4 linked regions of the Neodiprion lecontei genome follow. The protein of the gene in region 4 purifies or fractionates together with the protein of the main gene of each other region. This does not show direct contact. Links are inferred from orthologs where the notes say so. Each region holds a gene or a part of one and is shown on either strand. Other genes may lie near its edges. The genes, in order: BET1-like protein, vesicle-trafficking protein SEC22b, synaptobrevin homolog YKT6 and syntaxin-5.

Region 1 (6,106 bases), on a different chromosome or scaffold from region 4:
CCACTTCGCTTTCCGAATGGCTGAAAAATTAATAACAACGAACAATAGCAAAAGACATATGTTGTATTGGCATATAAGCAATGATATGCCTACCATGTCAGTTACCACAATGTCAACATAAGAATCTTTCAGCGGTAATTTGGCGACACTCCATGTGATCAGCTCTGTCTTATGATTGATAGATTGAGCATCGATATTTAACTTTGTTCTAGCAACAGCTTTCTCATGATTATCTCCACACAAAACGTATGTATCTGGGAAAGCGATTGCTGCCTATCAAATTGTAAAGGCATATTAAAAATATTGAAAAATAGCTGTGTTTTTTTGTCAAATCTATTCAAGGGTAATCGTTCTACCTCGATCGGTATGGAGCCTCCGCCACACATTGGATCGATTATGATATCCCCTGGCTTTGGGTTCGCAAGTCGTAATAAACTATAACACACAGTAGCTCGCAGCGTAGTTGGGCCAAAGTGAATAATATTACGGCGATGTTTGGACTCATGAGTTATGCGAAGACAGGTTGCCAGCTCATCTGTAAATGTGAGTAAGCAGATCAAAAAACTTCAATTATTGAAGGATGAACCTCAATATGTATTTCACATTTTAACTGTGCTGAGGAAACCCACTCTGAACTAGATTGCAAATGACTTCCAGATGGTACATGGTCAAGTCGACTAGCCAGAAATATTTATCTTGTAATTCTCCCCCGATTACTCTCGCAACTTGACCAGATTCAAAGGCATGAGAACCTGTTCTTTCGCAAGTCACTCTGTACTTGAGGATGTCTTCTTCACTGGATAGGGACGGATCTCTACCCCGTTTTCTTCCCTTCCTGACATCCCCTACAACTGCATCTTCCGGGGGCTGATTTTTTTCAGCTTTGAGCAGTTTATCCGCATCTTTAAATTCTTCTTGTTTAGGGTAAAGTTTGCCACGAAAGCCAGTCATTGCTTTCCATGCTTCCAAACCCTTTTCTAGCCTGAGATCTTTCTCTATTGCATTTTTTAGCAACGTCAAATCAGTCTCGCCATCATCTTCTGAGAAGTTGAATTGACGGACATCGGATACCAGAAAAATATTGTCAATCGATCTCATTTCTTTTACCTGTTTTTTTTTTTTTTTTAATAGGAGCAAAAAGAAAATTTGTACAAACGATGATCGAATACCGGCATCATGATAATATTGGCAATAGTACTTTTGAAAATTGGTCCAGACGTATGTTAAAATAGATTTTTCCACGCTCCTTGACAACGTGTAAAGTCGTATCCACCTTCTCTTTGCATTCGTCAACCGCCTGCCATTCCAAACCTGTATCACACGTTTAGGTTATGTTTAAAGAAACAAAACAAACGCAGTAACACGTGTATTATTATGTGTTGTACCTGTGTCTACGGTAGTTCCGATTGTATAGACGCTTTCAGCTTCTTCAGATTTCTTAAATAGCTTGTACAAGTCAGATTCGTTGATATCCGTCATCGTTAAATCGCACTGATAAACAAGTCGAAGTCACGATGCCGATTTTCGACGTGTAAGTATATGGAGTCTGTATCAAAAAGGCGGAACTATGACCCGCCATAAAAGAAAAAAAAAAAACGTTCGAACATCAAAATTTCAAATACTCAACAGATTGACATTCCAATTCTAAGTTTAGGCCTTTCATAATAACGAAATTTTGAAAATAAACGTTCTTTGTATTTTACATTTGAATGATTCAAGTAATTATTCTATTACACATAACATGTAGAATTAGAAATACCATTCACCAATAACATGTCATTCATACGGTGGAACGTTGACTGAAGAATATATATTCTTTCATAACTAAAATTATATTCTTCAGTCAATGGGTAGACTAAGAATGCGCAAAAAAGTTGGAGCGTGTCTCTACACCTTATAGAAATTATTTAAATTTAAGAACAAGCCATAACACAATAAATACAGCAATTGAAAAAAGGAAAAGGTAAATGATGTAATAATTATGTCCTGCCCTCGCCATACGCAATACTCTAGACACAGAGGAAGTCAGGGAGCCACTCGTCCTCTCAAAATCTTCGTCCTGAAACAAAATTTGAATAAACATAATTGTAAGACAAACTCTAATTTCAGTAATTGGTCACACTGAATTCTGTCAGTTTGATTTTCCGCATTCTGTTTAATTAGCCTCCTTACTAACCATTCCATTCAACATTTTTTCCTGGTATTTAACCTCGGTACCAATATCAATGGACACTGCCTTCAGGAGGCTTATTTTGTCCTTCAGTTCATCGGCTATCCGTTCGTTCTCTTCCTCCAGAGCATCGTGAGAGGTGCTTGGCAACGGCCCATAAGCATACCCCCCTGAAAACGGGAAGAAAATACCTTTAGTTTTAACTTGACAGACAAGATTTGTTTATTTATTTTCAGCACATCCGACTAACCCGAATGCGACCGCCTCATTTTTGAATCAATTTTGAAATGTTCCGAGGACTATCTGTGACTAGTTGTCCCGTGCGTTCTCCTCATTTTCCTGGAACAAAACACTGAAACACAACTAAACTTACTTGAGATCTCGACATAACCCCAAAATTCGATAATAATTTGCGCTTATTTTCTACTTGGGCGGATGTCAGGCGAAAGACATAAAAAATAAAAACCACCTCAAGCTGTGCAATCAAGTTTTTATTCGTTACCTTTTTCGTTTGCTACAAAATTGAACGTATAAATTTCGCAAACATTGCAAATGACGTGTCCGTTTCGTTCTCTCGGGACCCGATTGTCACTCGGTGACGTGTCACAACAAGAAACGAGTTGTGATCGTCGGCATTTGAACAAACAGTAAGAATGCTATCGAAATCGCTGGTTGGTTACGTCTTACGGCCTGCTTATGGCTACGCTGATTCAATCTTTTCAACCTGACATTATGGCCTCTCATTAGTCTGACCGAATGAGAAATACCTATTATAATTGCTAATGTAGTACTAAATGCCTATTTTTCGCGTAGGGCTGCCCCATTTAGTCGAATGTTACGCTTTAGCTTCATTATCGGTACGATCTTACAGAAAATATTATTTTGACTGGTATTAAATATTGTCACTTATTTATCAACGAATATACACTACCGTTTAAGCATGGTAATTCAGAATTATTTATACATTGCTTTGAACAAGTGTAGTCTCCATGTTTGAAAACCTCAAACGTATTCTTGCTACGGGTTGATTGTGAAATTCTCCATTGCCAACGTAATCCACTAGGGAAAAAATAGGCTGTTTCAGGATTCGCGTCCACACGTGTACAAGTAAATTTCGTTTGCCTCCGTTTTCTCCACAACGAGTTGTTTAACGAGTGAAGTTATCAATATTGAAGAGTTTTTTCCCTCGAATATTCATAATAGTTTGAACGGTTAAGATTTAAATGCAATACGAGGTAGAAATGGTAGATTAACAGTAAGATACATCTTAATTAAATTTTTATACTCAGAAAAATATTAAACAATTTTACTTAAACCTAGGTTTTTCAAAACAGTGTACACGATAACTCGAACTGTAATAGATGAATCGATTTGAAGTTTGGTACTCGTATTAATAAAAATACAGCGTATTCTCGAGCAGAAAACGGCAAAAAATATTCACGATTTTTTTTCGTCATCAAACGAGAAGAGAGGTAAAGAGCATGTTTTTTATTTTCCTATCAGACCATTTACTCTAGGCTCCATGTATCAGACCATCGATATTTGCGATGTCATGTACACCGTTTGACCACGCACGAAACCATCGAACACCATCGGTTCTTAATTTTGTCTTTTCCTACAGGTTACAATCCAGCCGCATATTTCTGAAGTAATGCGATCGCACGGTATAGCGCAATTCTTCACCGAAAATAATGCCAAGTATCTTAAATAAAACGAGGGGATACTAATCGACCTGTTAATCTGAGCAATAAAGAATGTGCAATGAATCAATGACTTAGTTGTTGGAAATAAAATAACTGCATATAGTATAACTATGGTCATTTTTATTACGAACTGGTATCAAGCATTACAAAAACTAGGCACTGTCGCACCTCGTCGCAATAATCTTCGAGAAGATTGTCAAAATCAAGTTGAATTATGTCCACATGTTTAACCTCACTGCAAAACCTATGCTGGCGCAGCTTCTCACTTGGTATCGTGAGTAATAGTTAATGTATTGTGGTAGTAGAATTGCCTTTCTATTTCGAATCTACTGGAGCAGGCGGTACAGCAGGTTTCAGTCCTCGAATGCTGAGGTCGTAAACGACTTCCTCGATCTTTTTAACATCGTATTTCAGGGCGTCAAACCGTTTACGAAGAGAGTCATTCTTCAGATTGAGGAGTCGGAATCCAGCGTTCAATTCATTCACAAACCTGGATATTTCTATTGGTCGATCATAGTCTCCACTCGTTACGCTGTTGACTGCAAAGCGGCACTAGAAAAAATATTTATAAATAATGTACTGCAGTTATGGGTGAACGATTTTCACAAATAATAATGATTTTTCGTGAATACCAATTCTGAAGATAGCTGCAGAAGTCCCATCAAAAAATCTTCAAGATCCAAGTGAAATCCTTCCTCTCGATTGCTCTTTACTTAAATTATAGAGAGATTACACAACTAATTATGGATTCAGGCTTTAGATAATAAGTTGGTAATACTGTCATCGTCAACGTACCTCCCAATAGTTCTGCAACCGTGTCTTTGTGCACAAGAATTTTGACTTCTAGATATATAGTGAGAGAAGCCAGGAAGCATAAACGTTGCGTGACAAAACGCCAATGTTCATGAAATCGGTAGTATTGATTCTCAGGAACAACAGCGGCTAGTTTGGCATAACCCTTTCGTACATCCTCAAATAGACACCTTGCCTTAGTACAGTGTTCCGACACTACTGAGTAAGCAAACAATAAATAAATTGATATACAGTAAATAATAAGTAAATCTAGCAAACAAAAAATAAGATGGTAATAGAATTACAAAATTTACAATCATACTAGTATTTTCCTCGGACACATTCTCATTGTGAATATTTTGAAGTACCATCAGGATTTCTCTTGCACTTTGTTCAATCTCTTTGACGATAGTTCGGATTTCCTGAATGAATCAAGAAAACCGTGTAAAGGTTAATTGACATTGTTGTCATTTTGTGTCGAATTGTTTACTGTATTCGTTGAATTAATTATATTTTTACACCACGTATTATTATTGTCTATAAACACGTACCTCACGGAGTTCTTGTTCCGTGTTGAGGTAATCTTGGAACGAGTTAAAAATCGACGTTACGTTGGTCGACATCCTGACGTGTGGGATTTGTATCTACGTTTACGATTAGCCGTATGAACTCTATCGTGTTTGTCACAAAGTTATCCGAACGCCGGTTGACCACGATTTTACATACAGGTCTGGGAACTCTGGCGATGGGGGTATGTCCTCTTATTGAAGCACTGGTTGTTCCGCCTAGTGACCACGAGTGTCGTTGCTACCGAGGGATTCAGGCTGTGCGAAAGAGATGGAAACAGGTTGTTGACCGTCCGCGGTTTTGAAATCTGTTTCCGTCTCTCTCACATAGCCTGAATCCCTCGATAGCAGCGACACTCGTGGTCACTAGGAAAAACGGCCCGTGCTTCAATAAAAGGACACCCCACCAGTGAAATTTTGAGTGAGTTCCCAGACCTGTACGCACTGATCTCTACTGTGTATACCTATGTATTTAAGACCGTGCGGTTGACTGTCAATTTGCCATTGCAATATTACATATATATGAGATGACACACATACGGGATGTATGTAATATTGATAGTAGTACTTGACGTGAACTCCGTCGTTGATTGAATGTCGCTGGAATCGGTTGTGAACATTCAGTGCAGCCAATTCCAGCACATTTCGAATATTTGTCACTAGATGCAAAGTGAATTGTGTTTCGAATTACTTGACAACGACTAGGGGCTCGATTCTGTGTTTTAATTTTTCAGATTTCCCACCATCCAAGTACTCTGACTGATTTGCAAAGTTTATTTATTATTATATGAAGCTAACTACGAAGATTATCCATCTGTATTCAGCAGGGGTAGAAGTGGTTTTGTGCAATTTTCAAAACTAGATATCATACTGAA
Region 2 (7,385 bases), about 7.5 Mb from region 4:
TGTGCTATCCGTAATCTTTTTATCGACAATTATTCATGATGTATTGGAATCATATTGACAAACAAATTCACACTTAACATTTCTGAAATAGTAACGCTAATAATTAAATATTGTAAATAGGTTGGAAGAGTGCGAAGTCTGTGGAGGAAGGAGTGCGAAGTACACGTGTCCTAAATGTGAGGTTAGAACATGCTGTCTGGACTGCGTAAAGATACACAAGAAAGAATTGGATTGTGATGGAATACGCGACAAGACTAAATTCGTACCTCTGAAAGCATTCACAGATCTCGACGTATTGAGCGGTGAGTAAATTAACGCTCATCATACTATTTTTCTGAAGTTGTACTGGATGCCAGTGCATTTACACTTATGTTAATATTATTTGATAGATTATCGATTGCTTGAAGAGGTCGGTAGATCTGTAGATTCATTTCAGAGAGATCCTTCCAAGAAGTATACAAGACTAGGTAATCTGCCAGTGGTGAGTTTAACGCAAGTCAATTATTGATGATGTATATTTAGTTTCAGTCGAGAGTAAGATTCAGTGAACACAGTTTTTGCCAATGAAACTTTCATGTTTGCAACAGATTTGATTTCACAATCAACGATTCAAAATATTTTGTACCTAATCCCACTACCTTAATATTGCAGCATTTGCATAAGTTAAAGACAGCTGTCCATCACAGGAATACAAAATTGGAATTTTTACCTCAAAACTTTAGCAGACATAAAATCAATACAACATATTATAAATGGAAAACAAATGAATTGTTTTGGAGGATTGAATGGATTTTTCCGCAAGCAGAGAATATGAAGCATAATGATAATCGGTAAAGTGTAATTTAATACATTATCCAGAATTGTTTCTAGATAAACGCTAATTTTGTGATTTAGAACGCAATGTTTACTTCAATCTTTCAGTGTCCTGGAAACTGAGAGATTGTCTACGATACTAGGTAGAGTTTTAGATCCTTTGACAATAGAAACCGAAGGTAGTGAGAGTATCGAAGTAATAAATTTGAAGATAGCGTACAGAGAAAAATTACAGTATTACCGAGCAGCTGGTTTTAGCAATATCAAAGTCCTTCTAAAAGCTGAGAAAGTGAAGAGATGTGATTCAAGGTTTGTTTTGCTCTGATTATAGAAAGATTATCGGACTGACACTTTATCGTCTTCGAATATCAATTGACACATTTATTTTTATCAGATTTCACGAGCTGAACCTTACTGAAACACTGAACGAAAATCTGGAGAATAAAACTATCATAGAATTTCCTGTTTTCTATGTGATACTGAAAGATCATTCAGATATGTACGAGATTGTAGACACTGGTGAGTGGTATTATTCAAAAGTAAAGGTGTCAATTTGGCAGACGAGGCTGAAACTAGCAGTCAGAATTAGCAGCCAACCGTTTTAATGTTCATTTGAATAAGGTAGTGAAGTCCAAATAAAAATTTTGTGAAATACCTCGAATCCTCAATACTTTTATAGAATTATGAGCGTAAAACTGAGCTGCATTTGACTATTTTCAAAGAGTTTAACACTTTTGGCTATTAGCTTCAACTTCATATTTCGTAGCTTGAACAATTTATACCACCATATTTGAACTCTATATTGCATTGCACTGAATATCAACAGATGAAGAAGAGGCGTCAACAGAGGCTGAACAAACAAGAGGAAACCTCAAAAGAAAACATACAAATAATCAGAGAGTTAAAAAGAAGAATGAAGGAGTTCCAGTAAACTTTTTCTTTGACAATGATCTAACAGATTCAGAAAATGAAAGTATGGAAATGGTTTCAAAAAATAAAATGTACTCAAATTTATAAAATCGTTAGAAGGTTATCATATCGCTGAGATAACTTGGGGTATTCAAGTATGCACAGCTTCTGAAAATAATAACTTCAACTAATCAATTCTAATTAAAACCGTTGAATTATGTGCAAAACATTTCCGTGAAATTATAGGTAAGAAGTAATAGATTGAAACGCTTCATCTGAGTTACTTTTATGCATTTCCATGCATGACCAAATATTTGGTAGAAATTCAAGCTTTTATTGTAAATAGAACGTTCACTAGAACAGTGTAACCGAATTTGATACAAATACAATAATAATATTATTAATCATGAATACAGGCTACTATATTACACAATTTCCATAGACCCTATGTCTCTTTCAACAATGAGAGCTATTTTTTATGTATGTTTTCCCCAACAATACTTTATACCACGTAAATAATACATAATTTCCTAAGAGTTTTCAATGGGATTGGCTATGCATAATATGTCAAATTCCCATAAAAAACAGATTAGGTTTACTCACTTTGATGGAATTAAAAATAAATTTGATTCGTGTATTCGGAAGTTGAAGCAAAATACGTATGCTTATATTTAAACACGAATATCCATCGAATGAAAATCATTTTGAAAGTGTTACATCACATGAAGAATAGAATTCTATATTCAATCGCCCGTGCGAAAACCTGTAGCAGTATAGATCTTTACAGAAGTAGTTTTGCTGTAAGCAAGTAACATTACATAATAACAGAAACATCTGTTCGTGTAACTTTTCAAAGAGCTCTTAGTACGCAATAATGCCTATGATATTCCTATTGCATTGCAGTTTTCCGATTTTTGTTTCAATTTTTATACATTGAGAAATTTAAATGATTGAATCGTAGATTAATATAAAACTATTGTATCTCTACTCATAGAAGTTCAAAGCTTTGTTTGAGAATTAAAAATGAAAAACAATTTGTTGCCTAACTAAATCACACCTTCCGATTATACAGAAATAAGACTGGAAACTCATCATGGACACAATCGAGGCTCTACTCTGCATATATCATGCCGTTCAAATTCTTTATATCAACTAAACGTCGTATTTTACGCTTGAAGTCAGTATACATAAATATATAATATTTCAGTTTCACTGAATGTGAAACAAAAAGACATTCTCCACAATACACAATGGTCAAAATATTTCGCACGCACGCCCTCTCATAGGTGAAGAATTTATCGATTCCATTTAAATCAATAACACAATAAAAATTCATACTCATCAATTATAGGATGAAAAAGTACAGTAGGAAGACGAGGAATGCAACTATCCCTGCAACTGCCTTTATGTACATTGATTTGCTGTTCAAATGCGTGGCATCCTTTCTGTACTTTTGTGACAACATTGACAAGTTCTGCGTTTTGGTATCTAATTCTGGAAAATGAAGATATTTATCAGAACAATTACAAGTCAGCATGCAATGCCTATAATCGGAGTTGTGTTGAAATGTCGGTTGACAATGTTCAGAATAACCATAGAAATTACCTGAAAGCATAGCTCCTCTCGAAAGAACATCATCGATATTTTGAACCATGATTCTTGTAACATCGTGTAATTGGTTGTTCAGAGCGCTCATATTTCTCCTGGACCGATTATCTGAGAAAGCCTTTTTTGCCTTTTGAATATACGTGTCTGCAAAGGCAATGATTTATATGAAAAAAACATGCCTTGAATATATGAGCTTTGACTAACCGAAGCAAGTCTAAAAGTAAAAGTTCTCTTACCAAATTCAATGAAACTGTAAGGTCTAGTGACGGTGTTGATCTTTTTACCATATTGTGCATCAAACTCTTGTGCAATATCTTCAAGATAGCTGTAAGCTACACGTTTACTGTAATTTCGTTCACACAATACCAAGTAACAAGCTTCTTTTTCGATAAGGTAACTGTAATAGGAAACCAAAAAATTTTCAACTTCCTTCACATTCACATACATTTGAAATTATTAACTTACAGCTTTAAACAATGTGTATTATTGTTTTTTATAATTCATGCATACATTAAATATAATAGAAAAAGAATAACAAAATGACGTAGTAAGATAACATGATCGTTCTTACTGAAATAAATATGGTCCAGTTTCTATCGTGCATCTCAATGGCGATTGTGGCCCAAGTTTCCTGAATAACATTTTGGCTTGATTCTGATATTCCAGAATACTTCTGCCACTCTGTAAGTAAAACATTAAATTTTTTATAATCAACATTGCTACGATATTGATATTAATTTGAACATTTGGATACGGAATCAAGATGATCAAGGTTCAATGCACAATACGTGATTTAGTAAGAATGCGTTGAACGGAGTAAAGAAAGAGCTTTGAAACTCTGCGAAAATGAATAAGAGAAAAGACGTGTGCTTACTGAATTGGATCAGCATATTGTTCTAGGAATAGGAGCAAAAACGAGTGATAAAATTGTATTAAACTAAATGATTGCAACAAGTCATGAATGAACTACGGATTCTTGATAATAATTACAAAGAGTAATGTATCAATAATTAAAATTTTTATTCACTAAAGGGCGAGCGCTTGGCCATTATATGGATAGAATTTTGAGAACAAGACAGGACGATTTGGCAATAAATATGGAAATTAATGAGAAAGTGACATTTCATCATAACAGTCGTTTTTAACAGCAATCTAACCTGTTCATCGTCCCGCATTGTAGCGGCTAGCGGCAGGCCGTCGGCTAACCTCGCGATCATGGTTAATAACACCATTTTTATTGGAATTTATGGAATATCCAGATTTATTCAGATAAAAACAGCAGTCCGTCTACTCATTGAACCTCCAAAAGCCCATTTGTACAGCGCTGGTAACTGATGTGGCCGACATCGGAAAACTCCATTTAGAATTTACCACGTCAGTCGCTGCATGCGCGTCGTTGACTTACTGTAAATTGTTTACCGAAGGTTAATATAACGAATTATTGTTGACAATTGAGCGCTAAAAACTGTTATAATAAATTACGAAACCTCAGATTTATCCAAGTTCCGCAAAACTTGTAATGCAATATTCTTGTGAAAAAAGATGTGAATTTAACAGCCGGCTTACTCGACGCACCAAAATCGTGGTTGTCAACTCATCGGTGAGTCTTTTGCATACCGGATAACCAGGCACTATTAATAACGCAATAAAATTGTCGGCGTGACAAATTTTGCGTGTAGAATCGTTGGTTCGGTATTAAAAAGCCCGCGAGTTACTGATTCGCGTCAGAAGTAGGTATTTTTTAAATTTAATTCAAAGGAAATACGGCGGGTTGAGAACCGTGACACCTTTTACCGCTATCTGTCGGAGAATTGTGCTCAACACCCTGACAATTGTGACCGAGGTATTCCACCTTAACGCCAGTGAACGGAAGAAGTTTGTGACGTGCTTAACCCAGATTTTCCACCGTCAAATGCTCGTGTTTGTACAACAGTTTTCTTAGCATGTTATGGATGTGAAAATGTGCTAAATTTATCGTAAATTCATTTATTACTCAGGTGTTCGTGACAATGTGTGATAGCGCTAGCTGCCAGAACGTTAACTAGGTGAGTAAATGACTTGAGAAAATAATACGATAGTTTGGTATCGTCACAACGAGTTGGTAATATCACAGCTGGGAAGGTATTTTCTGGCTTCCGAGGTCCATATCACCTGTAATTTCCCGACAGGCATTCGCTACTTCGTGTGAAAATCATTGAAATTTACATTGTGTTTCTTGTTATGTAATTATGCGACCGTTTACATTAGTATTGAAACAGATTCTTCACTCACAAGTTGCGGCTTTAAGACTCAATTCTTTTGATTCTGCATATATTTGAAACTTCATCAAGAACAAGTTTGATGTATGGAAGGATTTATAAATCTTTCAAAGTTTAAAGTGTTGTCACTGCAAACGAACCTTTTCTTGGGATGTATCATCGCATGTCTATACTCGTTGTTTTTCTTATCTTTACCAAGGACCTTGACGTCTCTTCCAATTAGTTTAAATAAATTGATAAGCTAATTATGGACAGGATATCCTGTCACCCATTTTTACTCTTCAACAAAACACTTGACATTTCTCATAAATAATACTATACTACAACTGGTCAAGATTGGAATTCAATGAACTCATTCTTGATCGTCATGATGAATAGCAATATTATTTTTGTAATATCATCGAGTGATTAAGAATACAGTGGTTTTGAATGAACGAAAAAAGAAGGCTTAGACTTGCACCTGTGCATCCTTAAATGCTGTTATTTTAAATTATTTGACGATGCCGCAGTTATTTTTCATTTAGCTTGCTAACGGCCTAATTATTTGCTGCAGAAACTCCAAAAATTTACCAGTGGTTTATGTACACCTATTGTCAATATCTTCTGTTTTTTGTTCAGGTTTTAAATATCAAGCTTACGATAAGTGTGGTGTTGGAGCAGAAGTAATATGAACGTAAGTAACACATGGTTTATCGCACTGAACCATCCTACAATGTAACATAACAACTGGAACGAAATTAATTCTAAATTATTTTCCAGAATCCATATCGTGCGAGACCAGCTAGAGCTAGGGTGGATCATGCCGCAGTGTCAGGGTATGGATCTCAGAGTCAAAACACTTGGAGTTCTATGCAGCCTGAGAGACGATCAGGAATTTTGCCAGCGAATGTTTATCAGCAACAGCCCAATTCTCTGATTCAACCTCAGCAGCAGCAGCAGCAGCAGCAGCAACAGCACCAGCCACAACAGCAATCTCATGATCCCTGGGATTGGGGTACCGATAACGGTAATAATGGCAATAGTGATTCGTGGAATTCAAACACTGATCAAAAGTCAGAGTCTCTACATCAGCTTTCTCAGCATCATCAATTTCCTTCTGGCCGCACCAATAATAGTCAAAGTATACAGAATCCACAGCAGGGAATGTATTATCCGAATTTTAACAGAAATAGTAGACCCAATGTACTTAATCAACAGCCTACTTCTGGTGGTAATATTCCACGGACGAGTCTAAGCAGAGAATCTACACCAAGTAATAAAGATGGTTATAATCAATACACGTCTTACGAATATAATCAGCCACCACAACAGCAACAGCAACAACAATATCATTTACCACCTAGGCCTAATTCTAAGTCAAGTCCTGCTGATCATTCGCAATGGTCTATCAGCAGTCAACAGACACCAAATTTACCGTCCCTTGGTAATAATTCAGGTGCTCAGCTGGATAACATCAAAAAAATACAGACTCCTCCACTTCCTCCTCAAACAAATACCTACAATTGGAACAATAGCGACCAACAGTTGGATCCTTCGCTTCGTAACTGGCAAAATCATAATGCCGCGTCAGTCAGTGGGTCCTGGCAAGAACCATCATTGGTAGCAAACAAGCAACAGCCCATAGAAAATATTAATCAGTCTCAACAGGGGCAACAGACTTCTCAAACGTTTGATCCACCTAAGGAATATACTTCGCCAGGACAATCCGAATACTATACTAACTGGAACAGTCAACAACATCAACAGAGTAATTTGACTAATCAATGGCCCTCAAATTATTCACGCAATACTTCAAAT
Region 3 (7,350 bases), on a different chromosome or scaffold from region 4:
TCAGCTATTTGACAAAACTGTACACAGAATGGATGATAATTCCAAAATCGTTATTGTCGAAGGGCCAATTGCCTCTGGCAAGACAGAATTTGCTGAAGCATTGGCCAAGGATTTGGACATGCACTATATGCCAGCAGTGACAATGGACATGCATTATATAAACTCATATGGCTTCGATATGCGGCAATTGGACGACAAGCTGCCAGAATCTTGTAGATCTTATGACGTCAAGAACTTCTGTAAAGATCCGCACCACATGAACTGTGCCAATTATCAGCTCCAAATGTATTATTATAGGTTTTTCCAATACGTTGACGCCTTAGCACACCTTTTCTCAACTGGAGAAGGTGTTGTTTTGGAGCGATGTGTCTACTCTGATGCCATTTTTATGGAGTCAATGTGCAATGCTGGCTATGTTAGCAAACTTGCGCAACGGACTTACCAAGACCTCACACAGCTCACTTTGCGTGAACTCCGCCTGCCGCATTTAGTTATCTATTTGGATGTTCCTGTACCTGTAGTCAAGGTTCTTTGTTGTTGTGGTTCTTTTTTTTCCATCTTGTCTTTACTGAAAATACCCAAACACAATTCAGATTTTCTGCAGGAACTTGAGCTGTATTTTTCATTCATTTTCAATTCTCTTAAAATTTTACTAGGTCCTACAATTAATTACATAGCTTATCAACCATTTTACAAATTATTTTAGGAAAAGATTCAAAAGAGGGGGATACCCTACGAAGTTGAATCCAAGGTTTTCACGGAGCAGTACCTGACTGATATTGAAAATCTTTATAAACAGCAGTATTTGAAACAGATGTCAGAACATGCTCATATTCTCATTTATGACTGGTCAGAGGGTGGCGACCCTGAGGTTGTCATTGAGGACATCGAGAGATTGAACTTTGACGCTGATGACCGAGACGATCTCAAATTCAGGGACTGGCAATTCTGGGATGCTAACGATTGGAGTGATACAAGGCGCATTTATGCTGATGAAGTATTATCATTCAAAGTGCTATTTAACTTAGGGGAAGTCAATGCACCAGAGCTCATTGTATCAGGAGCTGATCATCTCGCATATCAAAAGGTTTGGGAAAATGTAAGTATTTCAGTCTGATCTACAGATTCAACCGATTAGTTATTGATTAAAAAAAAGTAACTTCTGTAAAAATGTCACTACATTTTTCGAAAATATTTTCTTACATATGTTTATATCTTTGTTTTTGTAACTAGGCACCTGGTAACAAGTATATGAAAGGCTTCAATAAAGATATGGGAGATACGGGATTACTGTGGAAAGGGCGCCCTACTATTCGGGAATACAGAATGCCGTTTTTTTCGTAAACTAGGTGCTGCTAAAAACATAAGAAAAAATTCACAAATCGGCAGAAGTGATTACATTGTAGTGCACCGAATTGAAGTTGTCCTGGTAGACTTGTACAAACCGACAAATTACAATAAATAACATTCTATGTAATTCATACTTATGGTCAATTACTTACATTTCACGTTCCTTGGCACTGAGAGTAGATAAACATCACGTTTAGAGGAAAAAATTGGAGTGGTATTTTTTAAATTTAGACATGATATATTGAAATACTTTTTAAATACATAAATACGTACACATATTTTTTTGTTTCATCCATAATTGAACTCTTATCCAATGCCGAAACTGCATAACGGAATAACAAGTTACATTCCATTTGCAATAAGAATAACATATCAACGACAAAGAAGACGTTTAATAGACATTGGGTTACATAGATTTTGTGAAATTTCTGTTTATGTGTCTTAAAAGGAAAGGATATTAAAGTCTGTATGTATACAATCCAATTAAAATTAACCCCACTTTTTGATTAAACTGAAGTAACTTGAGTTGAATACTGAACTCTGTGACATTCTTTATGATGCTAGACAACACTGATTACTCTCGAATACAATCTGATGACGTCTTGAAAAATTATCCCTTTGCAATCAAGACACATAAAATTCAGTCACTCGTATTTCAACATTGATGGATAATATGTTGCATTAAAGCATATTGTTCATTAACATATATTAAGGATAACATTACTTACTTAGGCCTCTTTAAAAACATCCATACCTTCGGCTGCGCAATATTTAAATCAATCTTGCTCAATAGAAAATATACAAGTGAAATCTATTGGTAAGACAAACCACCTTTTGCAATCGGAGGTAAAATCCATTCAAAAATTAAAAAATTGTACATTCACAGGTAATTAATTATACCGAGGAGGCAAAATCATCTGAACAATAAACTGTTGCGGCAGGCAAAAGTTATCAATTAGCTTTCAAATTTCAAACATTACTCAACATTCTTTTCTTGACAAACCTATCTTCACATTTGTAACACAATAATATGAACACAATGGAATCATGGTATACCGTGTTTAAGCCGTCAAGCTGCAACAGGAATTGGTTTTCCGTGCTGTTTTGTAAAATGCTTTTGACTGCATGCTAAGGCCTTCTGATTTTGACACCAAATCGTCCAATTTTTCGCCCCTTTCTAAAACTGCTTCTATTGTATTATGCTGTAAGAAAAATGAATTACTGTATTCATAGAAATAGACACTTGTGATTCTTTATAGTATCTTATCTGCATCAGTTACATAATCTTTCAATACACAATAACTATCTGAAAACTAACAACAGCACATAAATGAATGCCACTGTTTACATCTCAGAAAATGAATTGGAAGCATTGCTTGCTAGACAGAGAGTGCAGTACATAAGAAAAACCTCTAGGATTGGAAAGAAAAATAGATAATGACACTACTTTGTTTGGAACATGTATTTTTTAATATTAATGCAATGATGCGACTTGAAAATTCTCTGAAATTTAGTAAGTAACAATAATAAAATAAAAAACATTATTTTTTGGCAAATTCGTCTTCTTCAAAGTCATTCTAAAGTTAAAAAACAGAGATTTTTTATAAATGATTTGTAAGAGTACTAATGTTACGAATTTCAAACTCATTTGTCCAATTATATTTCATAAACGACCAAACCGACGAGCTGAAACTGGATAACTAAGAAACTCAGTTTAAGAAAATCTTCAAACTCACCAAAATGATCTTGGTTTCATCAAGGTCATTCTGCATTTTTGTAAATGCATCTGCTTCCCGGGGATTTTGATATTTCGCCAAGTACGTATTCACTTGTGGAAATATTGTTGTCGCTTCATTTAAAGTGGCACATGTACTGGGTGGGTACTGGGCAGCAAATTCATCTAGTACTTTTGTGATCAACGTGTGCGAAACTCTGCTAGGATACTCATGATCGGAGATTAGAACGCCAGCTAAATTATCCGCTCTCACATAAACGTGACACATATACTCTGAAAGAACAGAGAAAATATGTGAACTTAGTGAGACAATCGGTAGCAACCTGAAAATAGATAATATAGAAAAAAAACAGACAATAAGCACGCACGGAGCAAAAATTAACTGAAATGAAACGGCTGTTTCAAGGTCTTTAGAAATGTTGTTAATATTAAGCAAGCAATGGTTTGTTTTTAAAAGTAGTTTCTACACCGAAACCAATGTCATTCATAATAGTTGCAGATCACGATGAAATGATATTTTATAAAGTACAGAGACTGGAAAATAAATACCTTTTTCCTTGACGCTTTGTCTGGCTGCAATTTGAGTTCTTTCAGTAATCGTTTTACTGACAAATGCCATAAATTCCTGAGCACTACTGCGTTGAAAAAACGAAAAAGATCCAAGTTCATAAGCTGATTTGATCGTTGTTGCTGTAGTTGGGCCTTTGTATAGGATGGTTAAAGCGTACAATTTGACCATTTTCGACTGTAACAAAAACAAGCTATTTGCATTGCAGTTTTTTTCTAAAAGATTATCGTTTTTCACATATCGTACACATTAACATTTGATGTAGATAATTGCTTACCTAGTGAACTCGGCTAGCCGGGAGTTCAGGAAAGAAGACTAAGAAGATACAACCGACGTAAGCCTAGGAAAATTTCGGCTCCAACTAGAACTTGACCTCCTTTCGTTACCTAGTTTTCAACTCTCACCGCCGGTAGAATCTTGTTGTCAGTCGCACTGCCAGTGTGGCAATGATCATTATTTGATTTTTCTTTCCTACAAGAATATCAAAAAATTGGACTCATTCAGCGCGATACTATGTGAAAGTAAAACAAAGTGATATGAAGTGAAATTAAGATAAGGGCAGTCGGAATTGTGTCACACAATATTTGAGAGAATTTTCTGCTTTTTACCTCCGTTAATGAAATCCTGATTCAGAGGGTAGATCCGCGGAAAAATGAACTAAAATTGTTGTTTTTGGCTCCGCCCTCCTCGGTTAAAGGCAAATGTCAAATCGCGTACCTTACCACTTACAAGCTTGCTGCGACTACTAACAGCACTGACACATCACCCACTAGAACTGCGCGTCGCAGACGGCGGGCGACGTCCGACGACACGCATACACGTAACACGGGTATGTCCGTCGCAGGGCTTGGGAAGGGGATTGTAGGGGGGATTGCAGACGGAGGTCGGCGACACGACGTTTGTTTTAAGATCGTTCAAATCAAGTTCAAATCATTCAAATTTTCACTATGATGAAGTGACGATCTCGAGTTGTATTCCGTTTGGAGAAGTAATTTTAATCAATAAGATTTAATTGAAATTATTTTACATGATAAGGATGCCCACTTTTCTTCCACACCGTCACAATTCAGCAATTCAGCGGTAACCGATGCACACTGTGCATACATATGTTATCCATATAGTTAGTCGTAACGTGCGAATGACTCAGAGTGTGTCGCCACCTCCGCTGTGTTGTGTAAACTCCCCCGCAGGCTTGTCCGAATAAAGTGTGAATAAAATCGGCCGACTGAATTATGCACACACAGTGACACTGGTCAGTTTTGTGTACGTATGTGCCAATTAGAAGGAATTCAATTTCCACCCATATACAAAAGTGAGAGAATGGAGTAGGTGTAACGATTTCAACTTTATTACTAGTGATGTGAAGTCAATAATAACAGTGTGTGGTATAATAATCGGTTCCACTATACCCTGCACAAGCAAACTTCGAGTAATTAAAAAAAAAAAACGCAAGCCCGGGGTTTCTACCGCGGTGTCTACCCTGCGAAATGACGTCCGCATTGTACTTGGAACATTACCTGGACAGTAAGTAAACTTTTATTTATGGTTGTTTAACAAGAAGAATATCGCTTGTTGTAACCACGGTCAGGTAGAATCAAACTAGACCTCTCAATATGAGGTCCCTTGAAGTTTACTTCATTAATCAGTTACATTCTTTAGCCTACCGTCAATGAACTTAACCTATCAATAAGCTAACCAACATGGGATGTCAATGAGTCGGTGTTGAAGTTAATATTTTTCAGGAAACAAATTGATGTTCAGAAGAGATATTTATGTGAGATGCTAGGACATCTGTGCCAAAATATAACGTTATTATCTTTTTTGTTATGTGAAAGTTACGTGAAGTATATTCTAAGTGCTTACACCAATAAAAACTCGTAGTTTTCCTAAATAGTTGCATCTCACATAACCATAACTTCTGATGAAAAAATTGAATTTTTTCAAGCGGGAAATTTCTTTATTCCTCTGCAAATGAAAACTATCATGTTGTAAAATATTAACATTTCATTAGAAATTGCGGGAAAACCTTACCAGTTTGAAATTCAGTCATTTTCCAACACTTTTCAGGTTTAGATAATCTACCGATTGAACTACAACGAAATTTCACATTGATGCGTGATCTGGATGCACGTGCGCAGGGGCTGATGAAAGATCTAGACAAGCTGGCTGATGAATATTTGAGAAATGTGAAAACGCTTTCGGCGGATAAGAAAAAAGAACAGTTAAATCACATCCAAAGTCTTTTCAACAAAGCTAAAGAATATGGGGACGATAAGGTTCAATTGGCTATACAGACCTACGAGCTGGTTGACAAACACATTAGAAGACTCGATTCAGACCTTGCTAGATTTGAAGCAGAAATTCAAGACAAGGCATTGAATACAAATAGAGTCCAGGAAGATAGTGCTGTTAGTAAAAAAGGCAGGAAGAAACTCAAAGAGAAAGAAAAACGAAAGAAAGGAAGTGCTGGAGCTAGTAGCGAAGACGAATCAAAGATTGCGCGCAAAAAGCAGAAAAAAGGTGTGACTAATGTTTTTTCTATCAATGCCTATGTTTACTCCTGTAGTATTGTGTAACAACTAGTTTAAATATCTTTTGATATTCAGATTTTGATCCTTCCTGTTGAATGAAAATCAAGATTATACTTTTTTTCAAATACCTTATTGTAATTGAAGATTAGTGATTTGTGAAGTTTTTCTCATTGAAACACAAAATTTAAATAAATGAATTTCTTAGGTGGATCCGTTACTTCAACTGCTGCTTCTGGGGCAGTTGGAAGTGGTGCTCAGGCAGACACCAGTGCGTTGGGACACCCAGCTGATGTCCTGGACATGCCAGTGGATCCAAATGAGCCGACATATTGTCTTTGCCATCAAGTATCTTACGGAGAAATGATTGGTTGTGATAATCCAGATGTAAGTTTGTATTTCATCATTATCAAAAGTCAATAAGCTTCCAGTTGTATCACGTAATGTTCCCATTATGATTACATCTACTGCACTAATCAACTTCTAAATATTAACGTATACTTCTGCTGTTATTTCAGTGTCCGATCGAATGGTTCCACTTTGCCTGTGTTGGCTTGACAACTAAACCGAAAGGGAAGTGGTACTGTCCAAAATGCACACAAGATCGAAAGAAAAAGTGAAAAATGATGGACTGAAGTATCTAATTTTCTTACTTTTACTGAAATCCCCCCTCCCCCCTTTTTTTTTGCAAACTAATTTTAAAATCTATTTATTGGCTGTCGGCATTCCCGATTAAGCATAAAACAAAAGGGGGGATTGAAGACACCCGGCAAAGTTATATTGAAAAATCATCGAACCTATATTTCGAAGCTGAAATAAAATTTCAGCTTCGATGTGAGAAGCACTGGTAGCTTATCACAGCGGCAAGGCTTGAGAATTGGCCACTCTTTTTAATTTTTTTTATTTTTATTTTTTATCTGTCCAATGGTAGTAATTTATTAATGATTGTTGTTTTAGGAAAATTATACAACTTTTTATACTTTTATGCCCTTTTCCCTCATACCAACCCATCGGCCAGTTTTTGAATCACTGTGATTTGGTACTTGGAGCATACATTTAAAAATTATTACACCCTATTAAATAGTACGTAGATACTAGGCTATTGACTATTATTATAAAATGTCAGATAGTTAATTATTGTTTTGATATTTTATGAGTGTATATTAGTG
Region 4 (9,003 bases):
GCCAGCATTATTATAGCGCTTAGAACATATTTTACATGCATATGGTCTCTGGCCAGTATGAGTATAAGTATGTTCATTTAGGGAAGTCAATCGTCTAAATGATTTCATGCATATTTGACAATGATATTTCGCTTCTCCTGTATGCATCGTTATATGTCTAGCTAACGTATTAGCTCTAGCAAATGCTCTACTGCAATACTGACATATGTATGGTTTTTCACCACTATGTGTGCGGAGATGCAACTGCAAATATGTACTCTTTGTAAATGCTCTACTGCAAACATTGCAAACGTATGGCTTAATTCCTGTATGAGTTCTCATATGGGCTACTAGCGATCCACTTTGTGCAAAGCACTTACTGCATACTTCACAAAGGAAACGTTTTTGCGGCTCTTTGATGCGTTTGTGTCGTTCCATATGGTTGGCCAATGATTGCGCCTGCGCAAATGCCTTTGGACACATAGCGCATTGATGAGGTCTGCACTTTTTTTCCTATCAAATCAATCAGTCAGTTATTTTTCAAATATAGACAAGATTCATATAATTGAATAAAATTTGAATCAACGAGTTTAACTTTTGCAAAATTGTAAAAACTATCGGACAACTAAAATTTATGAATTCGCAATACTAAATGCAAAGAATATCTCACCTTCCTTTTGGATTCGGCACCTTCATTTGGTCTACTTTCGTTATCTGTATCCTCATCTTCATCATCAGATGCCCCAAATATTTCTGCTTTGTGTTTGGACTGCTCATGATCTTTGAGTTTATCTAATCTAGAGAATTCCTTTCCACATGTTGAACAATTGAATCTAAGACCACTGTGGGTTGATATATGCCTTTTCAGGTTTCCTTTTGTTGCAAAAAGTTTACCACATTGAGTGCACTGTAGACCTTCGAGAGGTAAATCGTCGTCGTCGGATTCGTTTATTTTGGAATGAGACGAATCAGTTTGATGCTCCAGCGATTCTTCTATCGTTGTCAGCGGCATGGAATGATTATCTGAATTTTCACATTTTTCATATTCAGGGTGAGTCTTAATGTGGGAAAGAAATGATTTTTGATAGGTGAACTGTTTCGCACAGACTTTGCATTTCATTTTATAATTTTTTTTATCTGTTTTCTGTTTGTATATCGAAATGTCAATGTCTTTCTCTAACTTTTCCCCTTTTCTATCAGTATCTATTGCACCACAGTTATTATCAATATCAACTCTGTTATCATTTTTCAAAGAATCATGATTATCTGACACATGATTCTTCAACTTTGCAACAGTAGAAAATTGTTTGTCACACAAGTAGCAAACATATCTCAATTTAGTTTTGTGCTTGTGAATGGTCATGTGTCGTTGCAAAGCTAGATTTGTGGCAAAGCTCTTGATACAGTGAGGACATTTTCGTCTGCTGGTTCTCGTGATCAATGGTTTCTCTTCGTCACTATCATTCATTTCTTCATTAAAAATTTGACAATTGTTGGGTTTTAATTTACCCGATTCAGACGAAACATCAGCTTCGTCTTCCCCTTCAGAAAGTAAACTATTTTTTAATTCAAACTTGAGATCATCATGAAAAATAATTTCATCCTGATTGTTCCTCTCTCCTTCTAACAATTCACATTCCTCTGACAATGGCATATCCTCTTGTTTAATGGGTTCTGGTTCAATATTTTGATCTGTCGAATCAATTAATTTACCTACTGTAACACCCTGGTCATCCAGCAATATCTCTGTACTCTCCAAAGCAGATATTATCTCCCGCTGGCTGAAATCGTCATCTTTCTCTATTTGCTTATCAATTGATTCATCGCTCAGGCTTTTGTCCTGCATTTCCTCCTCTTGTGAAGACTCGTTACCACTCATGCACTCCTCACTGATTTCAAAAGCTACTGTACTTTGTTTATCATCAAAATTAGTCAATACTACACGCTTCATCTCTTGTGCAGCTTGTGATTTTGATACACTCTGCATTTCCAATTCCTTTATTCCTGTTTGCTGATTAGGAATTTCGTCAGCAATGGCTTCCGTGATAACATCATTGATCGATTGTGATAATAACTCCTTAGCTGCATCTCCGTTTACTTTTACATTCGATAGCAATATTTTACGTAAAGCAGCATCAGATTTTTCAACCTGACATTTGAAATCATAAGACATATCCAATAGCTGACGACATGAAAAACAAATAACACTTGGGAGACCGTCGCCGTGTTCTACCTGTAAAAATGTTTAAAAATACATTGCCAATAATTTGTAAATTGAATTGTTAAGGAGTGTGAAGTAATGATAGTAGTAGTGTAACAAACAAAATACAAAGAATTGTTTATATTTCAAATGCAGTCTGGGTGGTTGAATAAGCGACGTTTATTGTTACCAACTGATCGAAAATTAGTTCTGACGGCAAATATGAATTGGAAAAATAAAACATGTTGATGATCGTAATATAACAGTGATGATACGGTTGAAAATGCCCAAAAACTAACCTGTATAGCTGCAAACGCCATGATTTTTCTTGGAATATCCTCATCATTTTGGAATAATTCCCAAAACTGGTTGCAATTTTTTAAACAAATACGACACTCCTGGATAGAAGCTAACTGAACTTGCGAAACACATTCGGCTGTTTCTATTTTTTCCACTTCCATTTCCATCACGAAGAAATACTCCGCTGAGCCCCGTCTTGCTGCGCCATTTGCTTGATTTTACTTTAAGTGACGTAGCGCTTAGTAAGGTAGACCGGTGGATGTGTTCGAAAATCTTTCGAACGAAAAGGATTCTAATTTTTCCTGTCTTTCTCTCATTTGGGTTAAAAGAAAGAGATGAAACCATAAGACTTGTAGAACAGTATCGAGCAGCTCCAAACAGTTGAAGTAACGATTATAAAAATAAACACTGCAAATCATGAGCTATCCGGGTAAGTCGTCATTAAGCTATGTATGTTACACGCGACTTAAGTAACGTATCATAACGTGTAATATACATGCTGATTTCAGCCGCGACAGTACGACACTGTTGCTTTGGGAACACCAAAACATCCTAGTCTCCTCAAGCCGTGGAATTAAAAGTAAGATAGCCTGATGTGACAGGCTAACGCGTATCATCTTTAATGAGCGTGAACATTGCCCGTGGCTCAAAGCTGTGAGCTGTCATGTGGTTCAGCAATTTCCAATCTGTTGGGTGAAAATTATATTATATTATACTTGACGTAGTTAATCGCGTGAAGTGTTGCCTGTGATAATACATAGTATATTTGTTGAAAGTTGAGGATGCAATGCCAGCGCGTAGACGACGAGGTGGCTCCGAACACGAAATTGATCCAATGATCACAACCTCCAACAGTGCATATCAAAATCGTGATTTTGGACATCAATACTACAATGATAGAGTTGTTTCTCAACAATTAGATATCAACAATAAACAGCAAGAAGCTAACTTAGTGACAATGACTTCGCGAGACAGGACCAAAGAGTTTGCGAATGCGATTCGCACGATGCAGGGAAGGACAGTGGCGCGAGCCGCTGTTATGAGAGATCCTAGACAGGCTCGTCAAATACAGAGTTATTCCAATTTTATGATGATTGCTAAGAATATTGGAAAGAATATCGCTAGCACTTATACCAAACTGGAAAAACTTGCGTTGCGTAAGATGATGTTCAATTAATATTCATTGGTATATTTGTTACTTTCACTTTTCACACGAATGAAAACAATCTTCTAAATCCTAGCTATCCTTGAAATTTTAAGTAGCTGCAAACAGTTATTGAAAATTTAAATGAAATGACACGAGTTTAAGAATTTTACTGCAAAGAAGAAACTGAAATTTGTTTCAATGAATTTTTCCTTGTATGTTGTAAGGTTTAAAAATAATTCAATATTCGTCTACAACGTCCATGATGTTTCTTGTTATTGTAGTGGCAAAGAAGAAATCGTTGTTTGACGATAGACCATCAGAAATCCAAGAATTGACTTACATCATAAAAGGGGATTTGAATAGTTTGAATCAGCAAATAGCAAAATTGCAAGAAGTAGGTAGACAACAGCGGGAGAGTCTTGGGACGACACGTGGCCATCACCTTGCCTCTCACTCCTCTTCTGTAGTCGTCGCTCTGCAATCAAAATTAGCCAACATGTCTAATCACTTCAAAAACGTTCTTGAAGTGAGGACAGAAGTAAGTATAACATGTTATAAATGCCGTTATAGACTTCATAGTTTCAAACAAATGGATAAAACTTCATATCTAGATTATGGATGTCCAAACTCTGATTATTTCAACTTCTTAGTTTAATGGTTTATCTTCTTTTTTTTTTATTCTATGCTGTAACTTTGAATATAAAATTCATTTGAGCCTCCTATCATTTCTGCTTATTACATTTGTGTAGTTGAAATATTACATTCTGATTTTACTGATATAATTCAATAACTACCAGCCATGTATACATGAAAACATAATAATAGTTTTCCACTAACTTGAAACAAACTTGTGTAGAACTTGAAACAACAACAATGCCGAAGGGAACAGTTTACACAAGGATCGGTATCTTCGTCGTTACCTCCTAGTGCAGTATCAGGGCGTCAAGGTTCCTTGCTTCTTCAAGAACAAGCAAATTCTTCCTCTGTTAGCATCGACTTGGAACCCGCAATGGGACAGCAAGTAATGCAGCGTCAAGCAGTCCTCTACGACGAAACAGTGAGTAATCAATTGAGCTTCTTATCAGTAATTAGAATAACAGACATACTCAAATTGAATTTGTTCGTCAGGATACTTATGTACAGTCGAGATCAGATGCTATGCAGAATATTGAATCTACAATTGTTGAACTTGGAGGAATCTTTCAACAACTGGCTCACATGGTCAAAGAACAGGAAGAAATGGTTGAAAGGTATGATAGCGCTAGAGTTGAACATTATTCCTACAAATTTTTCATTATTGTAATCTTACGATATTTTGTTTGTTCAATTTCAGGATAGACAGCAACATACAAGATACCGAGTTAAACGTAGAGGCTGCGCATGGTGAAATTTTAAAATACTTCCAATCAGTCACGAACAATCGGTGGCTGATGATAAAAATTTTTGCTGTTCTTATATTCTTCTTTATATTCTTCGTTGTCTTTGTAGCATAGGGCAAAAATCCGTCAAAACGATATACTATTATAATTATGTATATTATTTGACCATTTACTTGTATTAAGAACTTATTAAAAAAAATATCTGTTTAACTGACGCGGGAATAACTTTTTTTTTATAAAGTAGGTTCAGTGTGGATATTGTACCATAAGCATCGAAATTGTATATTCACAACTGTTCCGTTTACGGGAAATTAGCTATTTTTAATATTTTATAAATATAACAGAGTATTTGCATTCATATGTATATTATCAAACTATACCGTACATAGTGATAATTACGACAATATTCAATTAAATAATCACATGATAGTTAATTGAATTGTATTATCTTAGAAAAACTATATTTGTACGGTTTAGTTGCTAATATTAAAGTTTTACCGTAATCACCTAGTAAGAATATTCGAGCTTCTAATGCTGAAATATTTTCGCAATATCGATTTATCTACATTAATTTTGAATCAATGTCGCTTAACACGGCCAATCCATCAATTGAATTTTTATGCATCTCCACCTAATCATTGTGTACAGTGAAATACAAGTTATTGAGGCCTTGATCAATTGTGTGAACTGGTATAGTCATAAGACTGCCCTTGACACTTAACCACAATTCGTATACGATTACTTGCGAGTCATGTGTCCCATTATGGATATAACAAGTAGCAACAGTTAATCGCAACAAAATATTACACACAAAATAGTATCTATTCTTGCCTAGCTGGGTGCCTTATATGTATATTCTAAAGGAGTGGCAGTACAATTTCATACGTCAACACAATCGATCTTGGCTTTTACAATATCAATGTAAGGAATGAAGTGGGCCATCATTTCGCAAACTGCGTAACTGCAATTCTGATATTGGCAACTTATACTATTGTATCACTAAATTGTGGTTTACGCGAATGAATAGGCTGGTTATATTTGTATAAAGTATAAAGTTGTTTAGGCAAAGGTTGATAGAAAAATAAAATTAAAATACTACATTATGTATAAAGTTAACGCACTTTATGACATTCCTCAGTACTGTAGTAATTTCACTCAGCAGCTATTACTTATTTTACTCAAACTTGGAATTGACAAACTTGTTTTTCTGACAATAGACGATCAAGATTGAAGTTTTATAGAGATGTAACAGTAACTTTCACGAAATTATTTTTTATAGATTTAAACTCGACTAGGCAAATTAAATCCACATGTTAATTTGTAAAATATTGACGGTAAATTTAAAAAATGCATTTAATAAATGATCGTTTTATGAGCATAATTGTCCCGGATTTCAGTCAAATTCGAAGCCATAACTCGCGAATAATAATAAATTACAATTTATTTTGATTCTTTAAAATCATAAATATACATTTTACAGTGTGATTGTTATACTAAATATTACAAATTTTTTTCAACATGATTTCAATAATCACATTTTATTTTTATACAAATGTTCATATCTCTACGCATATATATAAATATGTATACCTGCTTTCCTTTGAAACGTTCGACTATAACATTTTCTGAAACCATGTAGTGTAAGCTATTTAGTATTTCCACAAAAACTCTTACATGAAGTGATTTGGTATCTACACATTAGCAAGTACGAATTTGCTACAGTCGAATTTCATCATACTCAGACGAAAATTTTCGAACATAGCCACATCCAAATTACGGATAAGTTCTTCAAAGTATTGATAATGCATAATTCAAATTTGAAGTAGCATCATTTTATTAAACGGGAAGAAATCTATGGAATGAAATATTAAACGTATTTCTGGTTCCAGATAAGACAAAAGGCTTAGGCTTTTCCAGTATGATTTGATTTGTCCAGGGAGTCTCCAGAAGAATGTAACGAACCTACAAATAAAATAACAATTTATACATAAACAATAATTCAGATGCACATGCGTATATATAATATATTTGATTCTAATTTGCTTGGTAGCGTATTAGTGATGGTATGGATCTGGTGAATCAAGTAATCAAGTTAGTGCGTTATGTTTTGGAATTTCAAATAACAGTCTGCAAGCAAGAAAGCTTAACCAAGTGTCAAAAATTGATTCTACTTGACAAATGCTTTGATTTTTCCGTTCAGGCAACATTTTTAAACATTGACTCTACTGAAAACCAATTATGAAATGGGATGGTTAAGCAAACTAAGGTGAGTCTGTGCCTTGCATTAAGTGCTATGCGTGGTCCTTAGGACAAGTGTAAGCAGTTGGCTTTACAATTAACCACTAATACGTATACATATAAACACAAAGCCAATAAAAAAACAGAAAAATTAAATAAGTAAGTGCCATTAGTGTACAAAGAAAAGCTGTAATGTTAAAATAGTACTGATTCAATATGTGTAAAGTAGTTAATGTTTCACAACTGAAGATCGATGATAAAGACGTGTAATTGAGCATTCTACTCTATGACGTGGTGCTATATGAATAAATATATTCTGCTCAATAACTGGATTACACAATTACCAACTGCTAGAAAAAAAGTACATAAAGTAAAGATCTAAAATAAACCTGCCACAGATTCTATTTTGAATTATTTCCTTCCATTGTACTCCAAAACTGCCTTACTTTAGAGAAGCGCTTGCGTCCTTGCGTGCACAAATATAAAAATCCAACCGATTACAACATGACGGAAATAAGAATCATTCCAGTTTCCCTAAAGCCGGAGGTGAGGTGATGTGAGTATTTTGTGTGAAAGCTTTTATGCGATTTTTGAAACAAACCTTTGTGATTCCGTACACGCTGCTCACGTTGATGGGGATGGAAAACCGGATTTCGTGTGGGTGGTAATATATCATCCCCCCATGAATGCAAAGTTCCCAAAGGTGGCAAAAATGGAGGAGGCGGACCATGATGATACATATGGGCATGTTCGTTGCTAAATGGTGGCGGTGATCGATGGTTGTAAGAGGGATGTAACGGAGGTGAAAGCGGTGGTGGTGGAGAACTGGCATCTTCGTATCTACCAGGTGGATGAGGAAGAGGTATTGGGGGTGGTGAAGACAGACGTCCTCCTAATGGTGGAGGCCTCCTACTAATATCGTACATTGGTCCCCCTCCAGAATGTGGCGGTCCCGGTATAACGGGATACGGAGGGTACGGTGGGAATGGGGGTATAGGGGGAGGAATACCTGAGGAACCAGTAAACAATATAGGAGAACTTGATGTCTCTGCTCCCAAAAATAATTGAGGGGATGATGCTGTCTCTCCATTCGTCTCCATGCCTGCGTGGGAGTTTTCATTAAATAAACATAATATGTAGCTGTACCCTGTGTATCAGTGACAAGCTTTTACATTATAAAATACGATCAACTTTTACCTGATCCTGATGCTTGTTACTAGTTATAATAGTTCCAAATTAAGAAGGAACTATATTCAATATTTCACAAATTTAAATTTTTTATATGACTTTCAAATACATTTGAAAAAAGCTGAATTCTCAATAAAAGTAAATACTACCTAGCAAAATATTTCATCTGTTGGTCACTAATATTTCAAAGACTTTTTAGATTAGACTTAAGGCTTTTCGATGTCAGGTTTCAAAATATTACATTAGAAGGTCACCATTTGATAAACTAGTATCACGGAAGTATTTGTAAAACTGTCAATACAAAGGGTTTCGCCTCGTAATGTAAGAGTATAAAATATCCAAGTGTTGTCAGAATATTAAGTAAAAGATTTGATGGAAAAGTAACATTACCACTAGAAAAAAATATTCACATCAGAAATAATATACTTACGATGTAATTTTGAATCAGCATCTACTTCATTTATACTTTTCTCCACCAGGGTCAGTCGATTTCGTAATTGGCTGGCTTCAGCCTTCGATTCTTCCAAGCGTCGTTCACTTTGTCGAGCGATTACCTAGAAATTATAATAATA

Evidence for each region.
Region 1: the proteins of syntaxin-5 (region 4) and BET1-like protein purify together in Homo sapiens (affinity purification with mass spectrometry; 3 studies listed by BioGRID and IntAct, with this or other methods). This does not show direct contact. The link is inferred for Neodiprion lecontei from reciprocal best matches to the Homo sapiens genes STX5 and BET1.
Region 2: the proteins of syntaxin-5 (region 4) and vesicle-trafficking protein SEC22b purify together in Homo sapiens (co-immunoprecipitation; 4 studies listed by BioGRID and IntAct, counting the BioPlex papers as one, with this or other methods). This does not show direct contact. The link is inferred for Neodiprion lecontei from reciprocal best matches to the Homo sapiens genes STX5 and SEC22B.
Region 3: the proteins of syntaxin-5 (region 4) and synaptobrevin homolog YKT6 purify together in Homo sapiens (affinity purification with mass spectrometry; 3 studies listed by BioGRID and IntAct, with this or other methods). This does not show direct contact. The link is inferred for Neodiprion lecontei from reciprocal best matches to the Homo sapiens genes STX5 and YKT6.

Annotation. Positions count from the first base shown.
Region 1 is NC_060264.1:34,542,242-34,548,347, forward strand, and holds BET1-like protein, read right to left. Parts: upstream 3,213-6,106; 5' UTR 3,102-3,212; intron 2,829-3,101; exon of another isoform or gene 2,673-2,828; intron 2,534-2,672; exon of another isoform or gene 2,523-2,533; 5' UTR 2,440-2,522; coding exon 2,421-2,439; intron 2,341-2,420; coding exon 2,177-2,340; intron 2,060-2,176; coding exon 1,904-2,059; 3' UTR 1,480-1,903; coding exon of another isoform or gene 1,386-1,479; 3' UTR 1,312-1,385; coding exon of another isoform or gene 1,199-1,311; 3' UTR 1,196-1,198; downstream 1-1,195. Other genes in the region: THUMP domain-containing protein 3, read right to left, coding at 1-273, 357-535, 630-1,107, 1,199-1,311, 1,386-1,479; translin, read right to left, coding at 4,189-4,425, 4,506-4,585, 4,669-4,884, 4,988-5,087, 5,217-5,288. UniProt on the Homo sapiens protein: Required for vesicular transport from the ER to the Golgi complex. Functions as a SNARE involved in the docking process of ER-derived vesicles with the cis-Golgi membrane.
Region 2 is NC_060262.1:28,173,744-28,181,128, reverse strand, and holds the start of vesicle-trafficking protein SEC22b, read right to left. Parts: upstream 4,931-7,385; 5' UTR 4,818-4,930; intron 4,735-4,817; 5' UTR 4,563-4,734; coding exon 4,488-4,562; intron 4,012-4,487; coding exon 3,902-4,011; intron 3,728-3,901; coding exon 3,567-3,727; intron 3,475-3,566; coding exon 3,328-3,474; intron 3,217-3,327; coding exon 3,068-3,216; 3' UTR 3,061-3,067; exon of another isoform or gene 1,831-3,060; coding exon of another isoform or gene 1,640-1,830; intron 1,333-1,639; coding exon of another isoform or gene 1,208-1,332; intron 1,123-1,207; coding exon of another isoform or gene 922-1,122; intron 831-921; coding exon of another isoform or gene 652-830; intron 482-651; coding exon of another isoform or gene 390-481; intron 303-389; coding exon of another isoform or gene 121-302; intron 1-120. Other genes in the region: box C/D snoRNA protein 1, read left to right, coding at 121-302, 390-481, 652-830, 922-1,122, 1,208-1,332, 1,640-1,830; uncharacterized protein LOC107223481, read left to right, coding at 6,256-6,261, 6,348-7,385. UniProt on the Homo sapiens protein: SNARE involved in targeting and fusion of ER-derived transport vesicles with the Golgi complex as well as Golgi-derived retrograde transport vesicles with the ER.
Region 3 is NC_060263.1:35,805,929-35,813,278, forward strand, and holds synaptobrevin homolog YKT6, read right to left. Parts: upstream 4,698-7,350; 5' UTR 4,262-4,697; intron 4,125-4,261; 5' UTR 3,931-4,124; intron 3,847-3,930; 5' UTR 3,825-3,846; coding exon 3,635-3,824; intron 3,359-3,634; coding exon 3,087-3,358; intron 2,553-3,086; coding exon 2,412-2,552; 3' UTR 1,618-2,411; downstream 1-1,617. Other genes in the region: NADH dehydrogenase [ubiquinone] 1 alpha subcomplex subunit 10, mitochondrial, read left to right, coding at 1-526, 707-1,099, 1,234-1,344; inhibitor of growth protein 5, read left to right, coding at 5,141-5,177, 5,721-6,173, 6,390-6,568, 6,700-6,801. UniProt on the Homo sapiens protein: Vesicular soluble NSF attachment protein receptor (v-SNARE) mediating vesicle docking and fusion to a specific acceptor cellular compartment. Functions in endoplasmic reticulum to Golgi transport; as part of a SNARE complex composed of GOSR1, GOSR2 and STX5.
Region 4 is NC_060262.1:35,647,130-35,656,132, forward strand, and holds syntaxin-5, read left to right. Parts: upstream 1-3,120; 5' UTR 3,121-3,266; coding exon 3,267-3,636; intron 3,637-3,907; coding exon 3,908-4,164; intron 4,165-4,482; coding exon 4,483-4,683; intron 4,684-4,754; coding exon 4,755-4,876; intron 4,877-4,959; coding exon 4,960-5,119; 3' UTR 5,120-7,941; downstream 7,942-9,003. Other genes in the region: zinc finger protein 502, read right to left, coding at 1-492, 650-2,212, 2,479-2,646. UniProt on the Homo sapiens protein: Mediates endoplasmic reticulum to Golgi transport.